7 linked regions of the Oryctolagus cuniculus genome follow. The protein of the gene in region 1 interacts with the protein of each later gene in a pairwise test. Links are inferred from orthologs where the notes say so. Each region holds a gene or a part of one and is shown in the gene's direction. Other genes may lie near its edges.

What was found.
Region 2: the proteins of BAG6 (region 1) and SPP1 interact in binary tests that used the Homo sapiens proteins (3 or more experiments, as listed by UniProt). The link is inferred for Oryctolagus cuniculus from reciprocal best matches to the Homo sapiens genes BAG6 and SPP1.
Region 3: the proteins of BAG6 (region 1) and EFEMP1 interact in binary tests that used the Homo sapiens proteins (3 or more experiments, as listed by UniProt). The two-hybrid records come from large-scale screens. The link is inferred for Oryctolagus cuniculus from reciprocal best matches to the Homo sapiens genes BAG6 and EFEMP1.
Region 4: the proteins of BAG6 (region 1) and TAC1 interact in a two-hybrid assay, tested with the Homo sapiens proteins (2 studies listed by BioGRID and IntAct). The link is inferred for Oryctolagus cuniculus from reciprocal best matches to the Homo sapiens genes BAG6 and TAC1.
Region 5: the proteins of BAG6 (region 1) and ATXN2 interact in binary tests that used the Homo sapiens proteins (3 or more experiments, as listed by UniProt). The link is inferred for Oryctolagus cuniculus from reciprocal best matches to the Homo sapiens genes BAG6 and ATXN2.
Region 6: the proteins of BAG6 (region 1) and KLHL12 interact in binary tests that used the Homo sapiens proteins (3 or more experiments, as listed by UniProt). The two-hybrid records come from large-scale screens. The link is inferred for Oryctolagus cuniculus from reciprocal best matches to the Homo sapiens genes BAG6 and KLHL12.
Region 7: the proteins of BAG6 (region 1) and SERPINI2 interact in a two-hybrid assay, tested with the Homo sapiens proteins (2 studies listed by BioGRID and IntAct). The two-hybrid records come from large-scale screens. The link is inferred for Oryctolagus cuniculus from reciprocal best matches to the Homo sapiens genes BAG6 and SERPINI2.

The regions. Positions count from the first base shown.
Region 1 is NC_091436.1:138,962,309-138,966,507, forward strand, and holds the start of BAG6 (large proline-rich protein BAG6), read left to right. Parts: upstream 1-1,399; 5' UTR 1,400-1,539; exon of another isoform or gene 1,540-1,715; intron 1,716-2,189; exon of another isoform or gene 2,190-2,193; 5' UTR 2,194-2,202; coding exon 2,203-2,310; intron 2,311-3,704; coding exon 3,705-3,822; intron 3,823-3,938; coding exon 3,939-4,135; intron 4,136-4,199. UniProt on the Homo sapiens protein: ATP-independent molecular chaperone preventing the aggregation of misfolded and hydrophobic patches-containing proteins.
Region 2 is NC_091439.1:77,729,253-77,733,432, reverse strand, and holds the start of SPP1 (osteopontin), read left to right. Parts: upstream 1-1,380; 5' UTR 1,381-1,525; intron 1,526-2,558; 5' UTR 2,559-2,572; coding exon 2,573-2,626; intron 2,627-2,736; coding exon 2,737-2,775; intron 2,776-4,180. UniProt on the Homo sapiens protein: Major non-collagenous bone protein that binds tightly to hydroxyapatite. Appears to form an integral part of the mineralized matrix. Probably important to cell-matrix interaction.
Region 3 is NC_091433.1:146,726,815-146,730,314, forward strand, and holds part of EFEMP1 (EGF-containing fibulin-like extracellular matrix protein 1), read left to right. Parts: intron 1-2,973; coding exon 2,974-3,135; 3' UTR 3,136-3,500. UniProt on the Homo sapiens protein: Binds EGFR, the EGF receptor, inducing EGFR autophosphorylation and the activation of downstream signaling pathways. May play a role in cell adhesion and migration. May function as a negative regulator of chondrocyte differentiation.
Region 4 is NC_091447.1:38,674,634-38,678,599, reverse strand, and holds the start of TAC1 (protachykinin-1), read left to right. Parts: upstream 1-1,166; 5' UTR 1,167-1,324; intron 1,325-1,626; 5' UTR 1,627-1,635; coding exon 1,636-1,758; intron 1,759-2,647; coding exon 2,648-2,744; intron 2,745-3,156; coding exon 3,157-3,201; intron 3,202-3,670; coding exon 3,671-3,694; intron 3,695-3,966. UniProt on the Homo sapiens protein: Tachykinins are active peptides which excite neurons, evoke behavioral responses, are potent vasodilators and secretagogues, and contract (directly or indirectly) many smooth muscles.
Region 5 is NC_091452.1:8,999,888-9,003,982, reverse strand, and holds the start of ATXN2 (ataxin-2), read left to right. Parts: upstream 1-1,295; 5' UTR 1,296-1,613; coding exon 1,614-1,849; intron 1,850-4,095. UniProt on the Homo sapiens protein: Involved in EGFR trafficking, acting as negative regulator of endocytic EGFR internalization at the plasma membrane.
Region 6 is NC_091444.1:18,641,575-18,645,074, reverse strand, and holds part of KLHL12 (kelch-like protein 12), read left to right. Parts: intron 1-607; coding exon 608-714; intron 715-1,844; coding exon 1,845-2,040; intron 2,041-2,855; coding exon 2,856-3,014; intron 3,015-3,500. UniProt on the Homo sapiens protein: Substrate-specific adapter of a BCR (BTB-CUL3-RBX1) E3 ubiquitin ligase complex that acts as a negative regulator of Wnt signaling pathway and ER-Golgi transport.
Region 7 is NC_091435.1:113,053,650-113,057,729, forward strand, and holds the start of SERPINI2 (serpin I2), read left to right. Parts: upstream 1-1,280; 5' UTR 1,281-1,283; coding exon 1,284-1,530; intron 1,531-4,080.

The DNA.
Region 1 (4,199 bases):
CCAGAAAATGGTTAAGTCCCAAGTTAAATATTCAGTATAACAGTAGTATCTGCAGACTACTTACTAGTTTCTGGTGGGTAATCTCTGAAACCATAGGCACTAAGGGAAGAATGGTGACGCTGTGGTCACTGGGTTGTGCTGAGGGAGGAACTGCTGCTGAATGACCAGGGCTCCATTGCCAAATTACTTACTACCCGCGGACTACGACAAAGATTTACTCTGGGACTTGAGGCTTGCTATGGACTTGTGATTTACTGTGTAAACAGATCACGGTTTAAAAAAAATCAAAGCTAAATCCGAGCGAAGGGTATATGAAAGTTCATTTTACTAGTCTATTTTGGGGGTAATGCTTTGAGATTTCTCAAGAAAAAGCTAAGATGTAACAATTTATTGGAGCAGTAACGTCGAACTGGGCCCGTGTTTGTCACTTCCACCACCTAGGTTTGTCTAGGCGTACTCACCTATAAAACAGATGTTAGTACCCATTTCCAAGGTCAAAACTTTAAAATATGTAAAACGCTTATTATACTGGCTGGCACACTGAGCAGGTGCTTATTTAAACTGAACCAGTCCTGGGATCTGGGTATAAACTACAAATCGCAGAAAGACGTGGGGGAAAGGGGGCGCAGAGAAGCGGTAGTCCCCCCACCGCACCCCTGCGGAAGCCCCTCGGTGGCCTTTCAATTCTCCAAGGTCAAGGTCTCCTCTTTCGGTCCAGTCGGGTTCCATCGCGACAATTCTCAAACTCGGAAAACACTTCTCTTGACAAAAGTCCTGAAAGACAGCGGCAGGCTTAGCCTTCCTACAACATGGCGTGACTCCCTGGCCGCTCACTGCCCATGACGAACAAACACTACGTTCAGTCCGCAAAACGCCCCAACCGGCACAAGCGAGCTCCGGCCCAACGACGCAACCGCACGGAGAAACATCTCGCGAGCCGCCCCCAACAGCCTACGGCAAAGGTGACTTCCGGAGGCGCCGGAGCAAAGGTGCCGTGAGGACGACCGCGAGACGCTAGGAGGCTTAGGTGCCTAGGACAATGCCGCCTAAAATTCTCCGCTTACCAGGATTTTAACATAGGTTAACGGGGCAAAATCTCCAGGCTCCAAACTCTAAGGTCTACACGAATAGTTCGTAGTCTCTCTTGAGGCAGTGGCAGTCTCATCGGGCAATTTTTTTCTTCAGGCATTTATAGTGGCCACCTCAACCCCCAATCGCTGAAGCGCGCGCACAGGGGAAGTAACCACCGCCAGAGGGGGTGGGTGGGCGGAGTTTAAATGTGCACGCATGCGTAATGAGACTTAACGCAGGCGCAGTACGGTCCCCGGGCGACGACGGCGGCGGCTCCTCGGGGTGCTCGGCTCCCTCCCATCTAGGCCGGCCCCTGCCCGTCTCGCCCCCAGCAACTCACTGTTTGGGGCTACGGACTTTCTAATCGTGCCCCACAAAAGTAACGCTTGGGGACCTGGGGGAGCCGGAAGTACCGCCTCGTGATTCCCCAGATACTATCGGGGAAACGGAAGTGACCGTCGGAGGCAGGTTGGGGGAGACCGGAAGTGACGGTACCGTGGGGAAGTCGGGGGCGGAGCCGAAGGGTGGTGGGGAGTGTATGTGTATGGTGTTTGGCTGTGGCTGTGTGTTGGTTGTGCTGCTCTCTTGGAACACCGAGGGAAGGCGGAAGTGGGGGGGCAGTCAGCTAGCCGGTCCAGCCCCCCGTGAGTGTCCGCCGTCCGGGTCTGTAGTGATTTAGGCGGGTTCGATGGGCGTGGCGCGCGTGCGCGAAACCACTTTCTCCGCGGAGTCTGGCGCGACTCCCACTCTCGGGTTGTCCCAGGGTTTGTCGACTTCTGGGACCCTTGTAGTGCCGTGACTGGTGATGACACGGGTCTCTGGTCCCATGCTTGCTTCTTTTCCCGTATCTTAAGCCGACTGACCCGCCCTCATTGTGATTGGCATTGTGGAGCTCCTCCTACCTCCTGTCCTTCGGTTCCCTGTGCCGTCGATCTGCCCTTTGTGTTTCTCTCTCGTTGCCCCGGAATCGGAAGGGGAATGGGGGCGGGTGTGAGTGTGTGTGCTTGTGCGGGAGAAACTTTTTAGGTATTGGGGCGGGGATTCAGCCCGGGGAGGCTTCCTGGATCTAAAATCGGCTCCGGGCGACAGTGGACCTTCCTCTCCCCCTTCTTTCTTAGAGAGGTGTCGGCCATGGAGCCCAGTGATAGTACCAGCACCACTATGGAGGAGCCTGACAGCCTGGAGGTGCTGGTGAAGACCTTGGACTCTCAGACTCGGACCTTTATTGTGGGGGCCCAGGTGAGACCCCGATACTTCTGGAAGACATCTGTGGGCCCTTTGTCCCGGGGGCCCATTAGACGGAGAAGAGCCTGATGTTCTAGTCCTTGAGTTTTCATTGATTTCTTTGTTCACTTTTTTAACTGTTGAGTGAGGCAGATTTTTGTTCTGCCTTCTTTCAACTTGGTGGAAGTCAGTGCAGAGAATAGGAAGGAGGAATCTGTACGCTGTCATCTTATGTGGCCTCCAGCCCAAGGGGACAGCCTTTGGGAATGGACGTGATACAGTGACCCCCAAACAAGTGTGTCTTCTATAAACAGAAATTGGTCACATGGGTGTATACTCTTTTTTTTCCTGTCTCCTCTTTCCCCTTCTCTTTCTTTCTAAAAAGAGACAGAGCTTCCATCTGTTGGTTTGCTTCCCAAATGCCTGCAGTGGCTGAGACTGGGCAGGAGCTGGAAGCCAGGAACACTATCTAGTTGGTTGATCCATCGATTTTGCCTCCCAGGGTCTGTGTTAGCAGGAAGCCGGAGCCAGGAGCCAGAGCTGGGTATTGACCAGCCACTCTGATATGGGATGTGAGCATCTTAATTGCTAGGCTGGGTGCTCACTGCCTATACTGTTTTTTAAGTATGCGCATAAGAATTCGTAATGAATAGAGCTTTTGTAGACAAGCGAGTGGAATTACTGTATTTGCAGCATACTTTGAAACTCTGTTTAATGCTGTGGACACAGCTGTCTGTGCCTTTACTCCTGAAATAGCTAGAGACAGAATTGTGAGCAGACTGATCTATAGTTTCATAAAATATCACATGTTATTAAGAAAATAATATGGGCCTTTGTGGTTAGATGTATGTAAACATTCTAGCATTTCATAAGAGTGAGTTTTCTAGGTAGGAAAAATGACTTTCTTTTTTTCTCTCCTTCCTTCCTTCTTTCCTTCCTTCATTCTTTTCTCTCTTTCTCTTTTTTTTTCTCTCTTTCTTCCCTTTCTTTTTGCTACCTTTTCTTCTTGGCTAGTCTTCCCTCACCTGATTCCCTAACCCATTCTCCTTGCCATTGTTTCTGTCTTTGAGATTACAGGGTTGTCCTGGTATCATTTTGTGTTTGGGAAGGGGTCACTGGTAGCACTGAGCGCACCTTCCCTTGGGAACCAGGCAAAGAAGGAGAGAGGGGGCTGGCAGTCGGCTTTCTTGTTTCTTATCCACATCTTCTCCTGGTCTGTGCCATGAGTGTCCTTGAGTTTACTGCTTCTGTTTTGAGTCAAGCTTTGCACGATAGTTACCTCACATAGGAGACAATTGGCTAGTGATTCTATATGAGTTCTACCTCTCACCTTCCCTAATGCATGGTCCCTCTTCTGTACCTCCTCTGTCCTTTATCTGACTCCTGTGTGTGTCCTTTCTTCCTTGCAGATGAGTGTGAAGGAGTTTAAAGAGCATATTGCTGCCTCTGTCAGCATCCCCTCTGAGAAACAGCGGCTCATCTATCAGGGGCGAGTTCTGCAAGATGACAAGAAGCTCCAGGAATACAGTAAGGGGGTGGGGAGGCACTGCAGAGGTAGAGGATAGTGTTCAGAGGGATGAGCTGAGGCCATGGGTTTACCTGATCATACAACTATTTTGATGTATGTCTTTTTCTTTCTGCAGATGTTGGGGGAAAGGTTATCCATTTGGTGGAACGGGCTCCTCCTCAGACTCAGCTCCCTTCTGGGGCATCTTCTGGGACAGGGTCTGCCTCAGCCACCCATGGTGGGGGACCCCTGCCTGGTACTCGGGGGCCTGGGGCCACAGTTCATGACCGGAATGCCAACAGCTATGTCATGGTTGGAACCTTCAATCTTCCTGTAAGCTTGTGTTTTGCATGGCAGAGTTTTTGTGGGGAAGGGTAGTTTGGTTGGTTGTGGTATC
Region 2 (4,180 bases), on another chromosome or scaffold:
GTAAAGCTTTTGAATATACAAATTATTTTTTTCTCATTAAATAACCAAATTCATATATTTTGGAAGAAAAACTGGGAAAAAAACACAATTCAGAAATCTAATCTTCCCTTAACATATGCATAGCCTGGGGCAGGCCCTTGGTCTAGCTGTCAAGCTCACATCCGACACTGGAGCACCAGCTCTGGCTCCTGATGCCAGCTTCCCATCAGTGCAGACCCCGAGAGGCAGCAGAGAGGGCTCCAGCAACTGGGCTCCTGCCACCCACGTGGGAAACTTGGATTGTTGTCCTGGCTCCTGGCTTCAGCCTCAGCCCAGTCTTGGTCATTGCAGGCATTTGTAGAGTAAAGCAGCAAATGGGATCTCTCTCTCTCTCTCTCTCTCTCTCTCTCTGATAAATAAAAAATCTGTATTTTTCAATTGAAAAACACACTAGGGCGTTTGCCTCTAATGCATACCCAACATTGTTATTTGTACATATACTGACTCATGTAAACCTCTCAAAAGTTCCAGGAGCTGGGTTAACAGGGTCTGCATTTCACAGATGAGGAATACAGGTATAGATAGCCTAGTGATGTGTCCAAGGTCAGGCCAGCAACTCTAGACGGAGCAGGGTTCAAGGCCGCAGCGCGGCTCCTGAAGCAGCCCTCTCAGGCGGTCATCCTGCTCTCGGTCAGACACGGCCCTGACTGCTGCAGCATCCACCGTAAATCGCCGCTCACTCTCTTAGTTGATGCGGTTTTTATACGTATTTACCAGATTCATCACCTCTGAACAATTCAGACCGTGCAACAAAAATCCATGTCATTGAAAGGTCACTGCAAGTCTTCCAACGGAACGAGCATGAATAGGGACCTCAGTGTCACTAAGATCGTTCATCTAAATGACAAGCTGCTGCTGACTTGAAGTCACAAAACGGAGCTTGAGTAGAAAGGGACAGAGGGACGCTTCCTCTCGCTGGGCCTCGACAGTGGCCTTCAAGTTCTTCAGGAAACAGAACGGCAACTGTGGTTGCGGATATCACCTTCATCTATTACTTGGGGAAACAAAAGCCCTTTCTATTTCATTTCATTCCAGGCTGATTTACATGCGTATTTTTTCGCCTAACTCAGAAATTATAAATAAAATCTCTGTAAGAACTAGTTACTTTCCCTTTCTTTTAGGAGACCCCTAAGTGCTCTTCCAGGAGTCCGAATGCCATTCCAGTAAATGGCAAAGCCAGTTAACATTGTGCATAAGTGCGTGTGTGTGTGTGTGTGTGTGTGTGTGTCAATTTTGGTTTCTTTTGTTTTTTGTTTCTAACCACAAAACCAGAAGGGGAAGTGTGGGAGCAGGTGGGCTGGGCTGTGGCAAACAACCTCATGACACATCTCTCCGCCTCCCTGTGTTGCTGGAGGATGTTGGAGCAGCATTTAAATCCCGAGAGGCTCCGGCTGTCAGCAGCAGGAGGAGGCAGAGAGCGCAGCATCCTCTGGGACTGGACTCATCTCGGGCCAGTTGCAGCCTTCTCAGCCACACGCCGACCAAGGTAAGCCTGCAGCCTGCTCCGACTGTGTTGCTGTCCATACTTTCAGTTGAATTTCATGGGCAAGTTCAAGTTGTAAGGAAAATAGTTTAAGCTGTGATGCTGTAACAGTTAGACTGCAGTTTTTGTGTTGTTGTTGAATAAGCAGATCAGATATGTTACAAGTCTGGAACCAAAGTGCTCAGATATTTTGAAAGCCAAATGCAAAACTTAGAAACATACCTATTGAATTCTCCAAAGACCTGAAGCAACTGCTTCCAGTCAGAAAAAAGTAAAATTCTATGCCCCCTTGGAATGAGTGTGTGTCTTTTAAATGGCTGGATGACTGTGGAGGCATTAAATAAAGAATAATCTTTTGTGCTATTGTAAACCACTGATAATGCTATTTTTAAATGATTTGGTCTATCTCATTTTCAAGGAAAAAATCCTTTCTGCATATTTTACTTCTGTGTTTAGCTGTTAAAAATGTCAACAAGAAATTTTTTAAAACCTGTATGCTTTCACTATTTTCTTCTTCATTTCAAACTTCTAGACTACCTTACCTAAATAACTAACTTGAAAGATAGCTATAATTCAACTAAGCAGCAGCTTCTTAATAATTTGGGTGTAAGAATGTGTTTTAAATGCATGCTGGAGAAATGGGGACAGCAAATTTCTTTCATTTTTTTTTTGCCCTTTGTGTTTTTCTTCTCTGAATATTAGGTACTCCCATGCGTGCTTATTATTTTAATTAAATTTCTGTTGATAATGCTTTTAGGTTTAGATATCGAGTAGGGGTGATATAATCTCTGGAACTCTAAATTAAAAACTGAATAAAATGGAGACTTGTAAAATTCCCCTCTCACTTGTCTAACAGTGAAGTGGAAAATGGAAGTGACAAACATGAATTCCAAAGACCATGTTACAAACAGACGAGTTAGTCCAACAAGTAGAATACATTCAACAGAATGTTTTACTTGTGATTGTTGATTATTTTGTAATGTGGCAGATTTTTACATTTTAACCTATGAAGCTGTTCTTACAAAATATTTTGCAGGAACAATCACCACCATGAGAATCGCTGTGATTTGCTTTTGTCTCTTGGGCATGGCCTACGCCCTCCCGGTGAGTGCTGCTACTCTTACAGGAAATTCACAGGAATAAGTGAACTGGGTGCCTTCTTGTGCTAGAACACAATCCCGCAGTAACGTTGCTTCCTCTTTTCTGTTTGAAAGGTTAAACACGCTGATTCGGGCAGCTCCGAGGAAAAGCAGGTAAGCACCTTTGAAGTCTGTCATCTAGTGAGATTGGTCATGTATTCATTGCCAGGAGTAGCCAAACATCTTTGTTGCAATTTGACTTACCTTCATGGTCAAGCCCATTCATTTACAACCCTGCTAATTGACCTCTGTTATGAATCTAGACCCAACCTAAGCACAGTATAGTTTTTGATAAATGCGTGTTCTTAAAAGCAAGCTGGGCTTGTTTTAACATGATAAAATAATTATCTGGGTCATAATCACATGTGAAGTGAATTCCATGAAGTGGTGTGACTTTCTTTCCATGAGTCAACCTGCTTTTCTAGAAGCAGAAAATTCCATCCTTTGCTTTACTTAGGGGAAAGCTATGTTTGAAATTCACCTTGGCTATGGCTCAGGACTGTTGTCTGACCACAATATCGCCTAAGAAATTTGTAGGACGCCCATTGTGCAAAGAAGGTCTACTTGTGCTGTTTGTATCTATTGTGCTCGTCAGCTGACTTTAGATCACATTTTTCAAACCAAGCATAAGACCAAACCAAACTATTATAATGATTTGACCAACACCCTAGAGGTACCTGCCCCTCCACAATAGATGAAGCTGTGCCAGCCACACAACAAATGGGCCTTGTTCTGAGAAGCTTGGACAAAAAGGCACACAGAGTTCAATTCCAGATGAATAGAATAGAGGCCAATGCAGAGTTGCCTAGGGTCACGGCCATTAGACTGCTTAATGAAGACATGAAGAGAGGTGCTCTGTGTGTGTGTGTGTGTGTGTGTGTGTGTGGCTGTGCATGTGTGTACATGTGTCTGTTGATTTGCGAACACAGATAGAATCACAATAACAAAGTAGAAAAGCTAACATCTCCAAAGAAGGTACAAGCCATACTATTCAAGGAAAGAACTGGTGCCTTTTAAAACAGAATAAAATCTGGCAAGGGTACATTGATGAAAGGCACATAGGCCATGACATTATGTCACTAAAGTCATGTACCATTGCTAGGAGAAATTCTCTCTCTTGCTCTCTCTCCCCTAGCATATTATAGTTATTTTCTAGACAAATAAGTCTCTGGCGGCTTAGAAAAATAGAATTCTTGTGCAACAATGTTGATATATTTTGTACTGTCTGATAAGACAGCCACTGGACACACATGGCTACTGAGCACTCAGAATGTGACTATGGCACCGCATTGGCCTGGTGGTTAAGATGCTGGGTAAAGACTCCATGTTCCATCTCAGAGTGCCTGAGTTTAATGCCCCATCCCAGCTTCTGATTCCAACTTAACGGCTTATACAGACCCTGGTAGGTGGCAATGATGGCTCAAGGGATTGGATCCCTGCCACTCTTGAGAGAGCTGAATTGGGTTCCATTCCCTGGCCGGCACTGCAGCTCACTAGGCTAATACTCCGCCCTGCGGCG
Region 3 (3,500 bases), on another chromosome or scaffold:
ATGACTTGATATAACCCATTTGCTTTGCTAAAATTAGAGGGAAAGGTGGTACCAAGGATACCCTTCTTTTTTCTGTCTTAAGCAATAGTAAATGCTGTTGCAAGTTACTGAGACAAAGAAAAAGTAACTAGTGTTGGGCTGGTGATGAATTCAGTTTGGATGTATTAAATTCTGGTTCCATCAGGCATCCAAGTAATAGACAGCTGGACATGTGGGCTTGGAACTCAAATACAAAGTGCTGGGAAGTATGTTATAGTTGAAGGCTTAACTGTGTATTAAGTGGATTAGATTCCTCAGAAGAGAAGGAGGGGCTAAATTATGAAGCCTTTCACTTTCTGACACTTCATCTGGCACTATCAGAATCAGCTCATACCTCAATCTACCATTCTCTAGCCATCTCATCTCCTTTGATCTTCAACTTCATTCTACTTTGCCACCAAGGCCCGTGACTGCTCTATGGGTTTTATAATCATTCAGAACAGCTCCATAGAGAATTTTGGTCCCCAGTGTTGAATAGAAATTCAGTAACTGACTCTGTTCTCTCTCAGATGCCCTTACTCCCTCTGCTATTCACCTTCAAAATGATGTTAGTCCTGTAATCCCCTCCTCTTATTTTCTTGCAGTCTATCAACTTCTTTTTTTTTAAGATTTATTCATTTATTTGAAAGTCACAGTTACAGAAACAGTGGGAGGGAGACACACACACAGATTGAGAAAAAGAGAGAGAGAAAGAGAGAGAGAGAGAGAGAGAGAGAGAGAGAGAGAGATCTTCCATCTACTGGTTCATTCCCTAGATGGCTATAATGGCCAGGGCTGGGCCAGGACAAAGCCAGGAGCCAGGAGCTTCTTTCAAATCTCCCACATGGGTGGCAGGGGCCAAACAATTGGGCCATATTCCATTGCTTTTCCCAGGCCATTAGCAGGGAGCTGGATTGGAAGTGGGGCAGCTGGGACACAAACTGGCACCTATATGGGATACTGGTGTCATGGGAGCAGTTTTACATGCTAAACCACACTCTGGCCTCCATATCAACTTCTTAGTGGACATTTGAACTACTGTCACCATGGTAATCCTGGATCAATCCTATAATCCATTTCTATTTTCCTCCCCAGCTTGTCAGCTCACATTGCACTATCAAATCTTTTTTTTTTTTTTTTTTTTGTTTTTGTTTTTTTTTGACAGGCAGAGTGGACAGTGAGAGAGAGAGACAGAGAGAAAGGTCTTCCTTTGCCGTTGGTTCACCCTCCAATGGCCGCCGCGGCCGGCGCGCTGCGGCCGGCGCACCGCACCGATCCGATGGCAGGAGCCAGGAGCCAGGTGCTTTTCCTGGTCTCCCATGGGGTGCAGGGCCCAAGCACCTGGGCCATCCTCCACTGCACTCCCGGGCCACAGCAGAGGGCTGGCCTGGAAGAGGGGCAACCGGGACAGAATCCGGCGCCCCGACCGGGACTAGAACCCGGTGTGCCGGCGCCGCTAGGCGGAGGATTAGCCTAGTGAGCCGCGGCGCCGGCCACTATCAAATCTTAGTCTCCACCTTTGATAAGTCCTCAGTAAGCTCAACATAACACACCATAACTTTTTCATATTTCTTTAGTTCCATTCTCTTCAGTTCTTAATCATGACTGTCTCCATACTCCCTTTATTTTCAGAAGAAGACCTCACCTGTTATTTTTCTGAAACCATTGAGACCTACATGCATGAATTACCTGAACTTTCCACCCCACACCCCTACACACACCATGTGTCCCCCTTCCTATTGCTTCCTTCTAGTTTCCAAAGACAGTTACTTCTGTCAATTAAGGCCAACCCAGCTTCTGTTTTCTTTATTCCATCTCTTCTGGAAACTTGTCCATTAGAATCTCCTCTGTCTTCTATGCATTTAACTTGTTTCCAGATTTTGCCCTTTCCTTCCTTCCCTAGACAATCTGTAATCATGATCTGTAAGTCCTCACTTCGTAGTCACTTCTCTGTCTTCTACTCCTACTACCTGACTGAAATTTCTTTAAAAAAAAAAAAAAAAAAGACACTAATGCCATCCTTTCTGCTAACCCCAGAGGGAACTATGTAATTCATCCTCCCCTGCTCTACTGGATGCTATGGGCTATTCATATGTGTTCTGCTGAATCATCATTTCTTCTCAGCTTCCTTCAACAATTTCTCCTCTGCCTTCTCCTTAAATGTTGTCCTTTTCTGGAACTCCCGTCTTATCACATACACATTCTATCCTTTGGTTAAATGTCCAACTGTTGGGGTCATTGCTAATTCCTAATCCATGTTTCTGCCCGTTAGCATCCAGACTCACACATCTGCTCACCTGCTACTCCAACCTCATCTCGCACAGCTCTCCAGTACCCATCATACTCTTCATCATAAGGAAACTGCATCCAGTTCTCCTGAATGTACTGCTTTACAAAACTTCCATTTATCCTAGGTGACTCTCTTCAGGCAATCAGAAGCCATCGCCCGATTTTCAGGGTTCTTCCTCTTTCTCTGTATGTATATACACCCTTCTGTAATCCCACAGATCTCCATAGAGCCTGACATTCACCTCATTCTATTGTAATTTACATGGGTTTTCACCTTTGAGAATATAAAAAGTGTACAATGTTAAGAAAGTACTGTGTACTTGTTAAAAAATTATCAGATCCCGGCCTGAACTCTAGTCTCTGTAAAGGCTGGAGCTACTCAATAAAAGGGAAGAGAAATGTTGACAGAGAAGAATAGGAAGCAAAAAACTTTTAAAAATAGGTACTTGTAACTTGGAGCTAGTGACCGTGGGTAGACAAGGGATAAGAACCAAGAAGGTTTGGTACTAAAACAGGACTAACTAGTAACTGTTTTATCTCAACCTCAAAATTCTTTTCCTTATTCTTATAGGAATTATACTAATAATTAATAAATACTCAAGAAAATATTCAAATAATATTCAAGAAAAAGTATTCTCTTTCACCTTCTTTTTTCTTTTATTTTAGCAAACAAGTCCTGTCAGTGCAATGCTTGTGCTCGTGAAGTCACTGACAGGACCCAGAGAATACATCGTGGATCTGGAGATGCTGACAGTCAACAGTATAGGAACCTTCCGCACAAGCTCAGTGTTGCGATTGACAATAATCGTGGGGCCATTTGCATTTTAGTCTCTTGTAAGAGTCCACCACAGGCATTTTAAATCAGCCAAAGAATATTGTTACCTTAAAGCACTCTTTTATTTATAGACATATCTAGTACGTCTACATCTATATACTTTACACTCACCCATAATTCAAACAATTACACCCTGGTATAAAGTGGGCATTTAATCTGTAAAGATTCAAAGTTTGTCTTTATTACTGTATGTAAATTAGACATTAATCCACTAAACTGGTCTTTTTCAAGAGAGCTAAGCATAAACTATCTGGTGAAACTTGGATTTTTTGCTGTAAAAGTGGGACCGAGAAATGAAGATCTTTCGTGGTGCTTAAGGAAACTTGCCATAGCTCCACCCACAGTCTCATAGGAGGCA
Region 4 (3,966 bases), on another chromosome or scaffold:
TAAAAGAGAAAACTATTCCACCCAAAATACAATGTCATTCAGTTTTGATAAAGATGCAAGAAACGAGTCTCCAGCAGCATTGTGGCCCAGTGGGGCTAAGCGGCTGCTTGGAACGTCAGATCCCATAGTGGAGCCCAGGTCCAAGCCCCAGCAGCTCCACTTCCAATCCAGCTCCCAGGGAAGACGGCAGAAGACAGCCAAAGTGCTTGGGCCCCTGCACCCACATGGGAGACCCAGATGGAGCTCCTGGCTCCCGGCTTCTGGCCTAGCCCAGGCCGGATCGTAGAGGCCAAATGGGGAGTGAACCAGCCCACAGAACTTTTTCTCTATCTCCCCCCAACACACACATACACGCACGCACACACACACACACACACACACCTGTAATTCTGCTCTTCAGGTAAAGGAAATGTGTCTTCAAGGCAAGCGTGCACTCCCGGGAAGCTGTGATCTCCAGCAGGCGCTGACCTTAGTTTCCTAACAATTCTGTGCTGTGGACGACTGCACGGCTGCCGGTCCGCGTGCTCACTGCACCGACTTTGATGCACAGGCGAAGTCCCCGCGGATGCCTTGGGTGACACCAGCTAAGAGTGCCGGGCACGTGCAAGACAGGGTGGGAGAGAAGCAAAAACGCCCTCCTGTGCAGGGCGAGGAGGATTTGGGGGACAGGAGCCACCTCGGGGCGCCTCTGGGTGCAGTTTCCCTAAAGCGTATAATAAATCCTCTTCCCTCCCCGGAAGCGCTATGAGCCTGAGACACCCCTTTCTCAACGCTGGGGAAGTGTGAGTGCTGCCGGGGATTTAGGAGAGGTGAAGGCGGGAAGGCCCACGGAAGCGCCCCCTCCGTGGCCCGCTGGCCCTCGACCCGGTCCTGCTGCCCACAGGTACCCGGTCGGCTGGCTTCAAAACTATCACTTCTCCAAAGTCGGCCCAGTCCAAGGAATGAGTCACTTTGCTGGAGGTTGATGAGTAATCTCAGGTGTCAAGGCGAGGGGAGGGGGCGTCAGCTCCGCAGACGGATGCGGAAGCCTCGACTTGCCTAACACTGCGTCACTGCGGGCCCAGTGGGGTCCAGATGTGATGGGCACCGACGGGTTGCCGTCTCGGAAACTCTCAATCACGCCGGCAGAGAAGGAAGAGGCGGCTAATTAAATATTGAGCAGAAAGTCGTGGGGAGGGGGGGCGGGTCACGTGGGTCCGGAGGCTCCGCGAGCCGGGGATAAAAACCGCGCGGCTCCGAGCGGGCCACAGCGCGCGCTCACCTCCTCCCGCACCGCGCGGCGTGCGCTCCGAGCAGCCCAGGGACCCGCGGGCCTGCCGTCGCCGTAAGTGCCCGCGCTGGGCCACAGCGCAGCCATCCCGCGTGGCCGGGGTGGGAGACTGACCCTCTTCTTTGTCCCGCGGGAAGGGAAGTGCGATTTGGTGGTTGGGGGCTGGGGGAGCCTGGGACTGCTGGGATTTGGGGAGCAGAGGCCCGGGACCCAGGCGCGCTTCTCATCCCGGTTCAACTCATCCCGGGTGCCGTCTGGGGGCCGAAAATGCCGCTGCCCCAACTCGCCGACAGCCGCTCCGATCAACGGGCTCCTCCACCCCACCTCCCGTCCCCTTCTCTCCCACTGCTCCCCAGAAAGCCAACATGAAAATCCTCGTGGCCCTGGCAGTCCTGGCTCTCGTCTCCACCCAACTGTCTGCGGAAGACATCCGAGCCAACGATGATCTAAATTATTGGTCCGACTGGTCCGACAGCGACCAGATCAAGGTGAGCCCGGGTCCGGGAACAGCCCGCGCCGCTCCTCCGGGGCTGGGACCCCACGAAGTCTGCGGGTCCGCCCGGCCGCGGCCACAGCAGTGCGGGCGCGCAGTGCTGGGAAGTGGCTCCACCACCCTACCCCACCCCACCCCCTCGCTCCCGCCCTGGTTCTGCACCCAGGACCCAACTTTTCTCCCTGGGGCTGCAGCGCAGGGTCTGGGATCTCTCCGAGAGAGTCCAGTCCGCCCCTACGAGCCCCGGGTTGCCAGAAGGCTGGAAACCTCGCAAGGTTTCATCCCCGAGCGACGCTGCTCACGCAGGTGCAGTCTCCCGCCCTGTCCGCGCGCTGGGAAACACACGGGGTCCCCGGGGACAGGAGCGCTCAGCGGGGGCTCACTGGTCGTTGCGAGTTCATTTTGCGGACCTGCGAGTTTCGCTTTAGGTGGCTCTCGTACGTGTTGGCGCCAGGGAGCCTGCGGTGCGGGTTGCGGGGAAAGCACCCCCTCCCCCCACCCCTGCAAACACACACACACCTGTGTGTGTTCGGGGCAGCAAGAGGTCGCTGGAGCCCGCACCAGGGAGAGACAAAGTCACGGCGGAGGGCTGGAGGGGCTCGGGGGAGGGCGGCTCTGCAGATGAGCAGGGTCCGTGGAAGCAGAGGGGAGAGCAGGGCTCCGGGCCTGAGGACACGGCGCGGGGCTGGAGTGGTGCGGGAGTGGCAGACCGCGCCCGACGTGGGGCAGACCCCCCTCCCCCCTGGGCAGAGCTGGCTTCCCCGCCCGGGCCTTGGCTCGCTGGGGCTCGCCCAGGGCCGGGGCGCGCTTTGGGAATGGCACGGGCCACCCCGCACCTGGCTCCGTGGCCCACACGCCCGTGTGTCCGCGCGTCTGTCTTCCAGGAGGAGCTGCCCGAGCCCTTCGAGCACCTGCTGCAGAGAATCGCCCGGAGACCCAAGCCTCAGCAGTTCTTTGGATTAATGGGCAAACGGGATGCTGGTGAGATGGGCAACCCTCCCTGCCTGCTCGCTCGTGTCTTGCTCCATGAGTAGATAAGTCCATCCTAAGAGCGGTGGGACTCGGGACCTCTCTAAGGCGCTGTGCACACTTGCCTGCAGAGGGAGGGCTTCGCCGGCATTCGAGTGCACAAAACCGCCAAATCCAGGACCCAGCCTTAGCTCAGCGCGCCCCTTACTAAGGATACCAATTAGCAAGGGAGGGGCGGGCGGGGGCGTTCTTGGGGAGGCGTCCGCAGGGTCGTGGTGCACGTGGAAGCTGACCACCCCCCCCCCCCCCCCCGGGTTAGGCGAGACCTGGCTGTGCCGAGGCTCCAGATGGAAACACAGTTTCCCTGGGTTGATGGCGACATCAGTGGGACGTAAATAGTTAATGCCAACTCCTCTCTTGTCAGATTCCTCAATTGAAAAACAAGTGGCCCTGTTAAAGGCTCTTTATGGTAAACACTCTATCAATCTTTGACTATCGTGAATTCTCATTAGAAAAGTGAAGGAAATCTTGTAGGGCTTGAACGCAGTATCCTGGTTATGCTGTTTGGTAAAGAGATGGGTCTGTCTGTCTCTCTCTCTCTCTCTCGCACACGGGTGGGGTGTCAGGCCTTGAAGATGAGAGGTGGCACAGCTTGACAGTTAATGCCAGACCTCAGGTGTCCCAGCATCTTGGGTGTGAAGCCTTGGTCTAGAGAAAGCCCTCGGTGATGGTTCTTTGGGCTGTAAACTAGTTTGCTTTTTATTATGAATAATCTGGTTAGCCTTTATGGTCCCGCTATATTTCTCAGGGTGGGACAGGAGTGGAATATGTTGCATATTTTGAAAATCGATGTATTTTAGCAGCCTCTTTAAGAGATGTGATAGAGCTCTGCACAGATCTTGCACGTGTTGGTTAACTGTTACCTTTCTTCCTGCCAGGACACGGCCAGATTTCTCACAAAAGTAAGTTCAAGATTATTTTGGCATTTCTCAAGTGCAAATGTTAACAAGACTGAATACCACTTTATGCAATAGCTGACCTTAATTTCAGTCTTAACATAGACTTAATATGTCAATGGAGACTATATAAGAGTGGATGAGACTCCTATTATATAGAATATGATTGCGTCAAGCTCTGTTTCTTAAAAATATGGCTCTTACCAAAAAGATACTTGATGTTTTAAAAAGGAAAGGAAGCTGTCCTTTAGCCCCTGTAAATTGTTAGTTTTTGGTAA
Region 5 (4,095 bases), on another chromosome or scaffold:
TTAATTTTTAAAGGGTTGTGCAACTGTCAGTTTAAAAGACTACATCCATCGTTTGTTAGCCTCAGAAGGGAAATAAAGCTGATTTTCTACTTCAGGAAAATCTACTTCAAGTGACTGCAGGAGTGAGGTTGGCCCCAACTCCCTAGGAGGTTATTTTACGTTTGCACTACCGAGGAGCCCTGGATTTCTAGCCTCCCAAGTTTTTCCAGGTCTTTATCTGAACAACTCCAGATGGAGGGGGAAATTTCGGTGTCCCCTTCTCCCTTCTCATTTCCTGAAGTAATTTCACTTTCCAAAAAGGTGGATTCATGGTTCCAAAAAAAAAAAAAAAAATTATCTACTTGCTTCCCGTCTAGTTGCAACACATTTGCAAAAAAACGGCACCGCCGTGCGGGCGGGCTCCGAGTTAAAGCACAACTTGGGCAGGGGTCAAGGTCTGAAGTCCGCGCCTCCAGCGCCCGGGGCCCACCGCCCGGGGCCCTGCCATTCACGCGCATTCCCCTGGCGTCTCCGGAATGAGGGGGAAGTTCAAGCGAGGGTAGCAGAGTTCACATGAAGGTCAAATGCCCAGAGGTTTCTGGTCACTGTGTTGCTGCGAGCACATGTCAGGGAAAGGTGACCAAACGCCGGAGGCCCCGCAGGCCGGCGGCGTGCGGGGCTCCCGGCGCACAGAGCGCGCGCTGCGGCGGCCGCAGCGCCCTGGGGGCTCCGGGCTGAGCCCCCGCCCCGAAGGCACCCGCAGGCCATTTTCTGGGTTGCATCAGGTGGGGGCGACCCAGGTCCTGCCAGGGCCGCGAAGACGCCGGGTGGGGACACTCCCTCCGCGTCCTCCAGCCCAGGCCGGCCCCGCAGCCAAGCCCGACACGCCCTCTGCGAAGGACACACCCGCCTCGAGGAGGGTGGACCCGCGCGCAGGGCCCGCCGCCTGGTCCTCACCCGACCCCCGCGGACGCGGCCCAGCGCGGCGCCCGGACCTCACGTGTCCCTCCCGGCCCCGGGGCCGCCTCACGTTCTGCTTCCGCCCGAACCCTTCCGACTTCCGGCAAAGAGTCCCCCCCGGCCCCGCACCTCCGCGCCCACCGGGCACAGCCACCCGCAGCCTCGGCGCGCCAGGCCCCCAGCCCCTCGCGATGCGCCCGGCAGCCGCAGCTCCTCCGAGCCCCGCGGCGGCCGCTCCGGGGCCGCGCCGGCTCGCCGCAGCCAGGTGGCCCGGCAGGCGCTCGCTCCCGCGGCAGGCGCGGAGGGGCGGGCGGGGCGGCGGCGGCGCGGCCCGCGGCCCGTATCCCTCCGCCGCCCCTCCCCCGCCCGGCCCAGGCCCCCCTCCCTCCGGGCTGCGCTCGCCTCCCTCCGGCTCAGACTGTTTTGGTAGCAACGGCAACGGCGGCGGCGCGTCCCGGCCCGGCTCCAGTCGGCTCCTCGGTCTCGGCGGGCCTCCCCGCCCCTTCGTCGTCCTCCTCCTCCCCCTCGCCAGCGCGGACGCCCCCCCGGCCGCGCCAGCCCGCGCCTCCCCGCTCGGCGTCCGCGCGTCCCCGCCGCGCTCCGGCGTCTCCTCGGCGCGCCCGGCTCCCGGCTGTCCCCGCCCGGCGTGCGAACCGGTGTATGGGCCCCTCACCATGTCGCTGAAGCCCCAGCAGCAGCCGCAGCCGCAGCCGCAGCCGCAGCCGCCCGCGGCCGCCAGTGCCCGTAAGCCTGGCGGCGGCGGCGGCGGCCTCCTCACGTCGCCGGCCGCTGCCGCGCCGCCGCCGCCGCCGCCGTCCTCGTCCTCAGGCTCGTCGCCCTCGGCCGCGGCTCCCTCCTCGTCCTCGGCGGCTGCGGCGAGCGCAGGAGGCGGGCGGCCCGGCCTGGGCAGGTGGGTGTCGGCGCCCCAGCCCCCAGGGCTCCGGGCCTGCGGGAGCCGCGGCCTCGCGTCCCCTCCCCCGCGGCCCGCACCGCCGTCCCCGCCCCGTGACCGGCCGGCTTGTGGTGGGGGGGACGCGATGGGCTGGGGGCCCGCAGTGGGGGGGGGGGCGCTCTGTCCGCAGCGGGGTGGGGGGGCGCCGCGGGATTCCCGTGGGATCGTCGGGCCGCGTCCAGCCTCCTGCAACATCGCCACCCCCTCCGCCAGCGGTCAAGATGGAGGGACCGGGCAGCCTCCCCTTCCCAGGGAAATGCTGGGGAGGGGTTCTCCGGTCTTGGCAGCTGTCAGCCCCCGTCCCGCCCCTTTCAAGCCTCCTTCGCCCCAAACGGGAGGATATGCTTGGGCAGCATCCTCACCCCCGGGTATCTGAGTGTTCGTGTTGGAGGGGTCAGCAGGTTGGGGGGTCGCGGACTGCGGAGGGAGGCGGGGGGCAGTGAGGGCAGCATCACCCCTGCTCGCGTCCGGTCTCCGCGGCCGCCGCGTGCTCGGGGTCTCCCGCAGCGGCCCGCCCTCCCCCGCCCGGGCCTGGGTGGGAGTGCCCGGCTCTGCTTCCCCCGCGAGGCCTCTCCGGCGCGCGGCGGCGGCGGCGGCCGAGCCGCATTGCTGTGCCGGGGCCGCGGAGGGTGGGGAGGGGGCGGCGGCCGGGAGCGGGCCCGCGGCGCGCTGCCCCACCCCCACCCCGCTCTCCGAGGTTTCCCGGGGCGAGGGGTTGCCGCAGGGCGCGGAGGTGAGGGTGCTTGCGCCCCGTCCCCGCGGGTGTGCTGGAGGCGGGGGGCTCGCTGTGCTCCGGGCTGAGTTGGACTCTGGAGGGTGTGTGCGTGCAGGAGGCCCTAGGGCGGGTGGTTGTCAGTTGGTATTTTGCGAACCACGAAGATGCTTAGTGTCAGGGAAAGGCGGGTGTCCGACTCCATTCCATCGTGGCCGGAGTCCGCCAAGGGCACGCAGGTTGTCCCTGAGTGCACGGTGCGGGCCCTGCCGCGGAGGGCCGGTGGGATAAGGGGATCTTCAGCCCGTTTCCAAGGAATGCTCACTTAGAGCACAAGTTAGCCGTTAAGATGGGTCAGCCGGTGTTTAAGGGATTCCGCCTTCCGTGTTGACCGGACCCCCTCGCACTCCTGTTCGCCCGCTGCGGCCCTCCAGACACGCTTAGAGTGGTCTCCGTGAGCTGAGGGCTCGCACAGTGCAAGTCCACTGGGGGTTCTGGAACTAAACTTCCCTTTCTCAGCGCATCTACAGGAAAATGAAAACATTTCAAATACAAGTTTTGTTCTAGCTTCTCTTAGGAGTGAGGAAGAATTGGCAGATATATTTAACTTGTGCAAACAGTTAGCAAAGCTAAAGCTTTTAAGTTGCATTGGCTGTACTAGGCTTAAGTATTAGACTGTAACAAAGAATCTTTTCCCAAGTTGTTTGGTCTGAGATTGGGATGTTCCAGTTACAAAACTATTCCTTGAGGCATCGCAGAAATTTAAGGTTAATGTAGCGTTTTCCTTGCTTTGAGTTCTTTTAACTGGAGGTATGCATTGTAGTCTTCATTTTTCATAAATAGGCCAAGTTTTGCTTAATGTATGGGATTCGTTTTTCAGGTCTTAAGTAATGGACTTGTCAGATTGCTTTCAGTTTTGCTCACTTTATTGAGTTCTTTGTATATCAGCAACAGCTTCTAGAGTTGCCCCGTGTTTGTGTATATCAGCAATTAGAGTAAGTTTCTGGGAGCATGAGTGAAGAAAGGGCAGCACTGGGTTTGACAAGAGTGATTTATTCTTTGTCATTCCTTTTTTTAATAAAAATATTTGTTTATCTGAAAGAGTTATGAGGAAGGAGGGAGGGAGAGAGGAGAGAGAGCTTCCATCTGCTGGTTCACCCAGATGTCTGCAATGGCCAGGGCTGGGCCAGGCCAGGGCCCGGAGCTTCACTGGTGTCTCGCCTGCGGATGGCAGGAGGCCGAACCCTTGAGCCATCCTCCACCGCTTTTCCCAGGTGTGTTAGAGAGCTGGATGGGAAGTGGAGCCGCTGAGACGCTGACGTCACAGGCAACGGCTTTATGGCTGTGCCACAACACCGTATATGCCACATAGAATTTCAGAGTGGCTCTTTTAGGAAAGAACAGTGCAACCACAATATTAAAATTTGAGCATAACTTTTTTTTTTAAAGATTTACTTATTTATCTGAAAGAGCTACACACAGAGAGAAGGAG
Region 6 (3,500 bases), on another chromosome or scaffold:
CAACACAAAACATGGCCCAAGTGTTTGGGTCCTGCCACCCATGTGGGAAACCCAGATGGAGTTCCAGGCTCCTGGCTTTAGCTTGGCCCAGCCCCAGCCATGGACATCATTTAGGAGGTGAACCAGTGGATGGAAGATCTCTGTCTCTCTCCCTCCCTCTCTTCCTCTGTCACCCTGCCTTTTAGATAAAACTAAATACTAAATACACAGATATTAAAAAGAAAAATCCCCCCGTGTGAGTGCCCATCCAGCCTGGCGTGAGCCAAGAGTGCCTGTGCCTCCCACCCACAGGTGAGACCTCAGTTATGGTGGCAGCGCCAGCCGGGTAGGTGAGGATGGTGTGGTGATGTGTTCAACCTGGCCGTCCAGAGTTTCAGTGTGGGCCACACGTAGGCTCCAGAGCTTCAGTCCTCCAGAGCTAGAGCCTCTAACAGCAGTAATCTCCTCCTAGGCAGTCTGTGATGGGATTCCTTTCTCCAGTTGCTTCTCTCAGCCACGTCAGACAGGGCGTCCTGGAACTGCTGCGTGCACTTCCCGGGGGGGGGGGGGGGGAGGTACCCAGGCCGCTGTGATGAGGTCACCTGTCTTTTTCTGCCTTTGTCCTTAGGAGCCAATGAGGTGCTTCTGGTGGTTGGGGGCTTCGGAAGCCAGCAGTCTCCCATCGACGTGGTAGAAAAGTATGACCCCAAGACTCAGGAGTGGAGCTTTTTGCCCGTGAGTGAGGGGTGGTTTGTGGGGAGAGAGCTTCAATGTGCACAGACGCTGACCTGGGTTGTAACGAATGCAGCTGGAAGAGCAGAAAGGCCCACAGGCAGCGTGATGTTCTCACCATCACGGCCTTGTCCGTGCATGGAAGATGCTCAGGGAGCCGAGGTCCTGACTTTAGAAAGTTAGGCTTTAGAAATAAGTGTCTGTGGCCCTGTGTCAAATGAAATTCAGCTTGTCCCACTGGTCAAGTGCCTGTGTAGGTGGCCTGCATGACTCCCAGCATGCTTCATTGGTCATGCTGTGTCCTACTGAACTCAGTGTTAAATTGGGGTGGACATTTGGTGCACTGGTTAAGATGCCACTTGGGACACCCACGTCCCCTACCAGAGTGCCTGGCTCACGTCTCAGCGCTGCTCTGTATTCCAGCATTCTGTCCAAGTGCACCCTGGGGCCAAACGGTTGATGACTCAAGTACTTGGGTCCTTGCCACCCATATGGGGGCCTAGGTCGAGTTCCTGGCTGCTGGTTTCTGGCTTTTGGCCTGGCCCAGCCCCAGTTACTGCAGGCATTTGGGGAATGAATCAGTAGATGGGAGGTGTCTCTCTGTCAGCCTTTCATATAAATTAAACAAATAGATGAAACTGTTGAAGATTATTAAATTGAACTCGTGTTTATTGAACTCAGAAGTTCATATTGTTCTCCCTCGGTATGTGTCTATTTTAGTGTTGAATGAAGGATAATTTCTGAGAAAGCATGGAACTTTTTTGATCGATCCTCCTCCTACCCTTTAGGGCCTATGAATTCTGGCCCTTTGATTAGCAACGTGGGAGAGCTGTGCCAGTCAGTTAGCCCAGGCCTCTGGAAAGGAAAGAGGTGGTGGGCAAGAAAGCCGTTAAGTCTCGAGGCAGCTTGGGAAGAGGCAGCTGTGTCGCGGGCCTGCATCTCCACGCAGCACAGCAAGCCTTGCGTTCAGTGGACAGTGAGGCCACGTGCGCAGGAACCAGTGCCTCAGGGAAGGCTGGTGGTGGCAGGTGAAGCGACAGATGTGCGTGGACACACACAGCGGGCTGGCGAGAGCTGCAGCCCCAGACTCACCTGCCGGAAATGCTGTGCACCTCTTCCCTCCCAACCCCTAGAGCATCACGCGGAAGAGACGCTACGTGGCCTCAGTGTCCCTCCACGACCGGATCTACGTGGTCGGAGGCTATGACGGCCGCTCCCGCCTCAGTTCCGTGGAGTGTCTGGACTACACGGCGGACGAGGACGGGGTCTGGTACTCGGTGGCTCCTATGAACGTCCGCCGAGGCCTCGCGGGAGCTACCACCCTGGGAGGTAGGTAGGTTGGGTGCACAGGGCTGCATGTGCCAGATCAGGGTTCCCACCTCTCCTGTTGTTAGGAACATGAAACCTGAAGAAAAAATTGGTAAGCCCACGTGGTCCTTTTTGCCCTAGAAGTATCAGTTACAGAAGCTATTTAATATTTGTGGATATTTCAACACTGACTACAAAGTTGGTAAATTCCAGTACGCTGGCTGGGGAACTGGCAGTGGGTGTCTTCCTACAGGCTCCCATGTTGGCTTCAGACACTTTGAAGGATTTCATCGTATCCTGTTCTTTTTAGATGTCTTGACTGTGCTGCTGTCCTTGTCCAGAAGACGTAATTAAACATTTTGCTTTTGCTCCCAGGCGTTTGAAGAACCTGTGGAGAGTTTGTAGAGGAGGCTGGTGCTGTGGCTCACTAGGATAATTCTCTGCCTGCGGCGCCGGCACCCTGGGTTCTAGTCCCGGTTGGGGTGCCAGGTTCTGTCCTGGTTGCTCCTCTTCTAGTCCAGCTCTCTGCTATGGCCCGGGAGTGCAGTGGACGATGGCCCAAGTCCTTGGGCCCTGCACCTGCATGGGAGACCAGGAGGAAGCACCCAGCTCCTGGCTTCGGATCAGCGCAGAGCCGGCCGTAGCAGCCATTAGGGGAGTGAACCAACGGAAGGAAGACCTTTCTCTCTGTCTCTCTCTCACTGTCTATAACTCTCTTTCTCTCTCTCTCTCTCTCTCACTGTCTAACTCTGCCTGTCAAAAAAAGAGTTTGTAGAGTAAAGAGTCCTTGGAAATGTGTCATTCTCTCAAATCTACAATTTGTTCATTCTGGGCAGATATGATCTATGTCTCTGGAGGCTTTGATGGAAGCAGGCGTCACACCAGTATGGAGCGGTACGACCCAAACATTGACCAGTGGAGCATGCTGGGAGACATGCAGACAGCCCGGGAGGGTGCTGGCCTGGTAGTGGCCAGCGGAGTGATCTACTGTCTAGGTATGCAGCCTGGGGTGCAGGAGCCTCCGGCTGGGGGTCCCTTTGGGCCAGAATGAAGTTCATAGACTCCTGCAGCGAAACCCTGGTCTGTGTCAGAACGCGTCCCCTCGTGAGTGGCAGTCCGCTCTGTGTGTGCAGTGTATTAGAACTGTGGGAATGCTAGGCCGGCGCCGCAGCTCACTAGGCTAATCCTCCGCCTTGCGGCGCCGGCACACCGGGTTCTAGTCCCGGTCGGGGCGCCGGATTCTGTCCCGGTTGCCCCTCTTCCAGGCCAGCTCTCTGCTGTGGCCCGGGAGTGCAGTGGAGGATGGCCCAAGTGCTTGGGCCCAGCACCCCATGGGAGACCAGGAGAAGCACCTGGCTCCTGGCTTCGGATCAGCATGGTGCGCTGGCCGCGGCGGCCATTGGAGGGTGAACCAACAGCAAAGGAAGACCTTTCTCTCTGTCTCTCTCTCTCTCACTGTCCACTCTGCCTGTCAAAAAAAA
Region 7 (4,080 bases), on another chromosome or scaffold:
CACTAAGGTATCACTAATCTACAATATGTGTAAAGTAAAATTGATATTATTAAATTTATGAAGACTTGGAGTCAATATTCTACCAAGAATGTGGTAATATTGCAATGTTATTTCTACACAAGGTATAATCAGATGGTTGAATTTCCTGTGATTTTTGTGGAGAGTACTTTAATATAGTGTCATTTATCCAGTGAATTGGTTGTGGTCTTCAGTTGCTGTAAAACTTGTATATGTTAGTTTTGTCAAATTATTCTTTGATATTTAAAATTGCCTTCTTCCCTTGTTATTATTGTGGTATTTATATTTGATTGTCATTTTGTTTCTTCGTTATTACTCTAAATTCCTTTTCACTTATTTTTGGAAGAGTATGAGGTGAGCTTTGGAGTATTTTTCTGTACAGAAGTAAAATTCTGTAAAATATGAGAAAAGCTATGGTAAAAATTTAGTTATTTATTTATTTTAAAGATTTATTTATTTATTTGAAAGTCCGAGTTACACAGAGAGGAGAGTCAGAGAGAGTCTTCCATCCTCTGGTTCACTCCCCAATTGGCCTCAATGGCTAGAGCTGCTCCGATCTAAAGTCAGGAATCAGGAGTTTCTTTTGGGTCTCCCATGCGGGTGCATGGGCCCAAGGACTTGGGGCCATCTACTGCTTTCCCAGGCCATAGCAGAGAGCTGGATCAGAAGTGGAGCAGCCCGGTCTCGAACCAGTGCCCATATGGGATGCTGACACTTCAGGCCAGGACGTTAACCCGCTGCACCACAGCGCTGGCCCTGGTAAAAATTTAGATTACTCAGTTGATTCAGAATACATTAACATCCTAATGTTACAGGTAAAAAATACACTGTAGTGTGTTCATTTTAATCCCATATCTCCACTTGATTTATCAATAATTTTAAGTACTGTGGGCAGAATTTCCTTTGATATAAGATTTACAGATATCCCACTGAAAACCATGGAAAAGGAAAGTAAAATTGTATCATGCATCTATATACGTATTACCATTGATAATATTACATAATTACAGCATCTCCTGTGATTTTTAAGAAACTGCAAATGTATGGTAATGGTTCTTGAAGGAACATAAAAGCACCATTAGCACATGAACCTATTCTCCTAAGAGATGATACTTATTTAGGAAAATAGCATTGCACAATCTTCTTTTGGTAGTGTTTTGTTATAAGAACGTTCTAACATGTATCAAGTTTCCAGTTGAGCTTATTGTAGTAAACTGGATTCAGAAAGCTAACAAAATGTTAATTCGCAATGCACAGAAATCAAAATGGATATGATCTTGTTGTGGAGTCTCCTATTGCTTATTTCTGGAAGTCAACCCTCAAGGTCCTTGGCTCAAAAAAATACCGAATTTGCGGTAGATCTCTATCAAGCTATTTGCTCATCACATAAGAACAACATTATATTTTCTCCCTTTGGAACAACTTTGGTTCTTGGAATGGTACAACTGGGAGCAAAAGGAAAAGCCCAGCAACAGATAAGACAAACTTTAAAACTTCAGGAAACCTCACCTGGTGAGAACATGACACGTTTATGTATACCTGATAAGATATGGTGGAATTTATTTTTAAAATATTAGATAAAAGTTCAAAAGTTCAAGGTCATTGAAATTGAAAAAATTTTTAAAAGTTATAGAAAATATAAAATTGTAAGAAAATGGGGAATTGTAAGTATAGTTTTCATTGTTTATAATCTTTTCTAATGAAAATGTTACAAAAATAATTTACTAAGAAATTAACATCTACACAGATACGAAATTGTGTGTGTTTGCACAGCTTTTCTGGTTTGTTTCTTTTAGCCAGTTTCAGTTAATTGAGATTATGCCTGCATTTGATTCTCTGGTTTCCAGCTTTCTGCTAATGTGTACCCTGAGAGGCAGTATGATGGCTCAGTACTTGGGTGCCTGCTGCTCATGTGCGATTCCTGAGTTGAGTTCCTGGCTCCTTGCTTTGGGTCTGGCTATAGCAGGCATTTCGGAAGTGAGCCAACAGAGGGGACTGCTCTCTGTCTCTGTCTCTCTGCCTTTCAAATAGATGAAGATTTTTTTCCAAAAAAAAAAAGTTAAAGAATTTGATTAAGGAAAATTATATTATTTTTAAAAATATATTTATTGTATGCACAACAGTTTGGAATCTGTAAATATGAAAGATCTTCAAAAAGTTCACAAAAAATAAATATTATGAAAACACACTATGCATGAATTTCACATTTTTTCACTAAAATAAACCTGTGTTTTAGTTCTACTTTCCCCACACTTTTTGAAATCGCATCATACAATTTTAAATTATTTCATTTTATTACCTCTCTGGAAATACCATTACTTAATCATTCTTTAATAGGTTGTTTTCAACATGTCGCTTTAAAAAATAATGCACTCTTACCCACAATGAGACCAAGGAAAAGCATTCGTTTATGTACTTTAGAAGCATATTGTTAATATTTTAAAAGAAATTTTCAAAAAACCATTTAAATCACGCATCAGAGGCATTTTTGCTGTGTTTCTGTGGTTGTTCTGGAATCTCCCTACGGGGAGCTACTGCTTTCAGCACAAAGATGTTGCCCATTTCCCTGGCCATCTTGTGCCCTCAATTTTCATAGTGGTTTAATTTTAAACATTTACATCAGTGTCAGATAATGTGTCTTAAACATCAGTGAAGATATCTGTATTTTTGATTTGGGAATTTAATTGCCATAACAATATTTGGCTTGGCTCCAAGTAGCTATATTTAGGGTTGTATTTTTCTGGAAATACTATTTACAATGTTTTCTTTGCTTCATTTAAATAAAGGCAATTTTATATAAAAATAAGCTGGTGACAGAGAAGGTAATTACAAGAGTTTTCCTTTGTGAACAGTATGTGCTGAAGCCACTGCATTCCAGATTGAGTCTTGATTAATCTCAGCAAATCTCACAACGCCACTTCCAGGAACATTTACATCCATGATACTGCTTCAAAATGTAATAGAACATTTATGAAGATACGTAAAGTTGATTCCCTGATAAGCTAGCAAAATTAGAGTCTCTGAAATGTAAATGCCTTTAAATAGATCCATCTTGAAAACTGTGGATGGTGAACATACTAATCATAATAACAGTGATGACACTATCATAAAGCCTGTATCAGCCACTGAATTATATGCTAGATATATATTACCATATTTAATATTTATACTTACTCTGTGAGCTAAACAAGCTTGCTGTAGAAATGAGAAAACTGAGGCAAAGAAAGTTTAAGTAATTTGCCTAGGAATAATTTCAAAATTAATAAAGTGAGACTCTTGGTAAGAGTATTAGCTAAGAGTTTCATATTTTCCTTGGAAGCATATATATCAAAAATATGCATTAACATTTAAATACATATAACAAAATGTATCAGATGAATTTTCTCTTATACCCTGTTAGGGGCAGAGAGAGACACAAATGGAGAGTAAGTGCTAAAGGTGAAGAAAGACTATCAAGAAAGAAGAACATAGGAAAAAAAATCTGAAAAACAAGAGCAGGGGAAATGAGGAAATATAGGAAGAGGAGAGCCAGAGCTAAGAAAGGGTACAGAGGAATGGACTAGTGAGTTGCAAGACTAAGGAAAAGGCCCAGGGAGTCTGGAGCAAGACGGGTAGGTAGGCACTGAGGTAAAGATAGGAGGCAGTGCCTGGCAGAGCCATATTGGAACCAGAGCTAAAAGGGAAAATTAGGAACACTGATCCTGTCTGGAGGAGCATTTAAAATTGTTGTATCTTATTCTTATTAAGTGTTTCACATTGACCTTGGTTTTCAAAAAAATATTGCATTGAAATATTATTTATCTCAGCAACTGAGGTTTTTTTTTTTTTTTTCTACATGTTCCTATAAAGTTCATGACCAAGGTGAGTGTTTCATTGACTTACCTTATTCCTGTCTCTGCTTTCAATCCCCTACTTATTTTCGAAAGGTACTATTGTTGAGGCAATCTCATTTGATTTTTCCTGTTAACAACCCGTGGTCCTGGCCTACCATTTCCTTCTAACACCTGGCTTATTCTCAATGACCTACAGCTGGGCATGCAACAGCTGGCACCTAATCCCAGT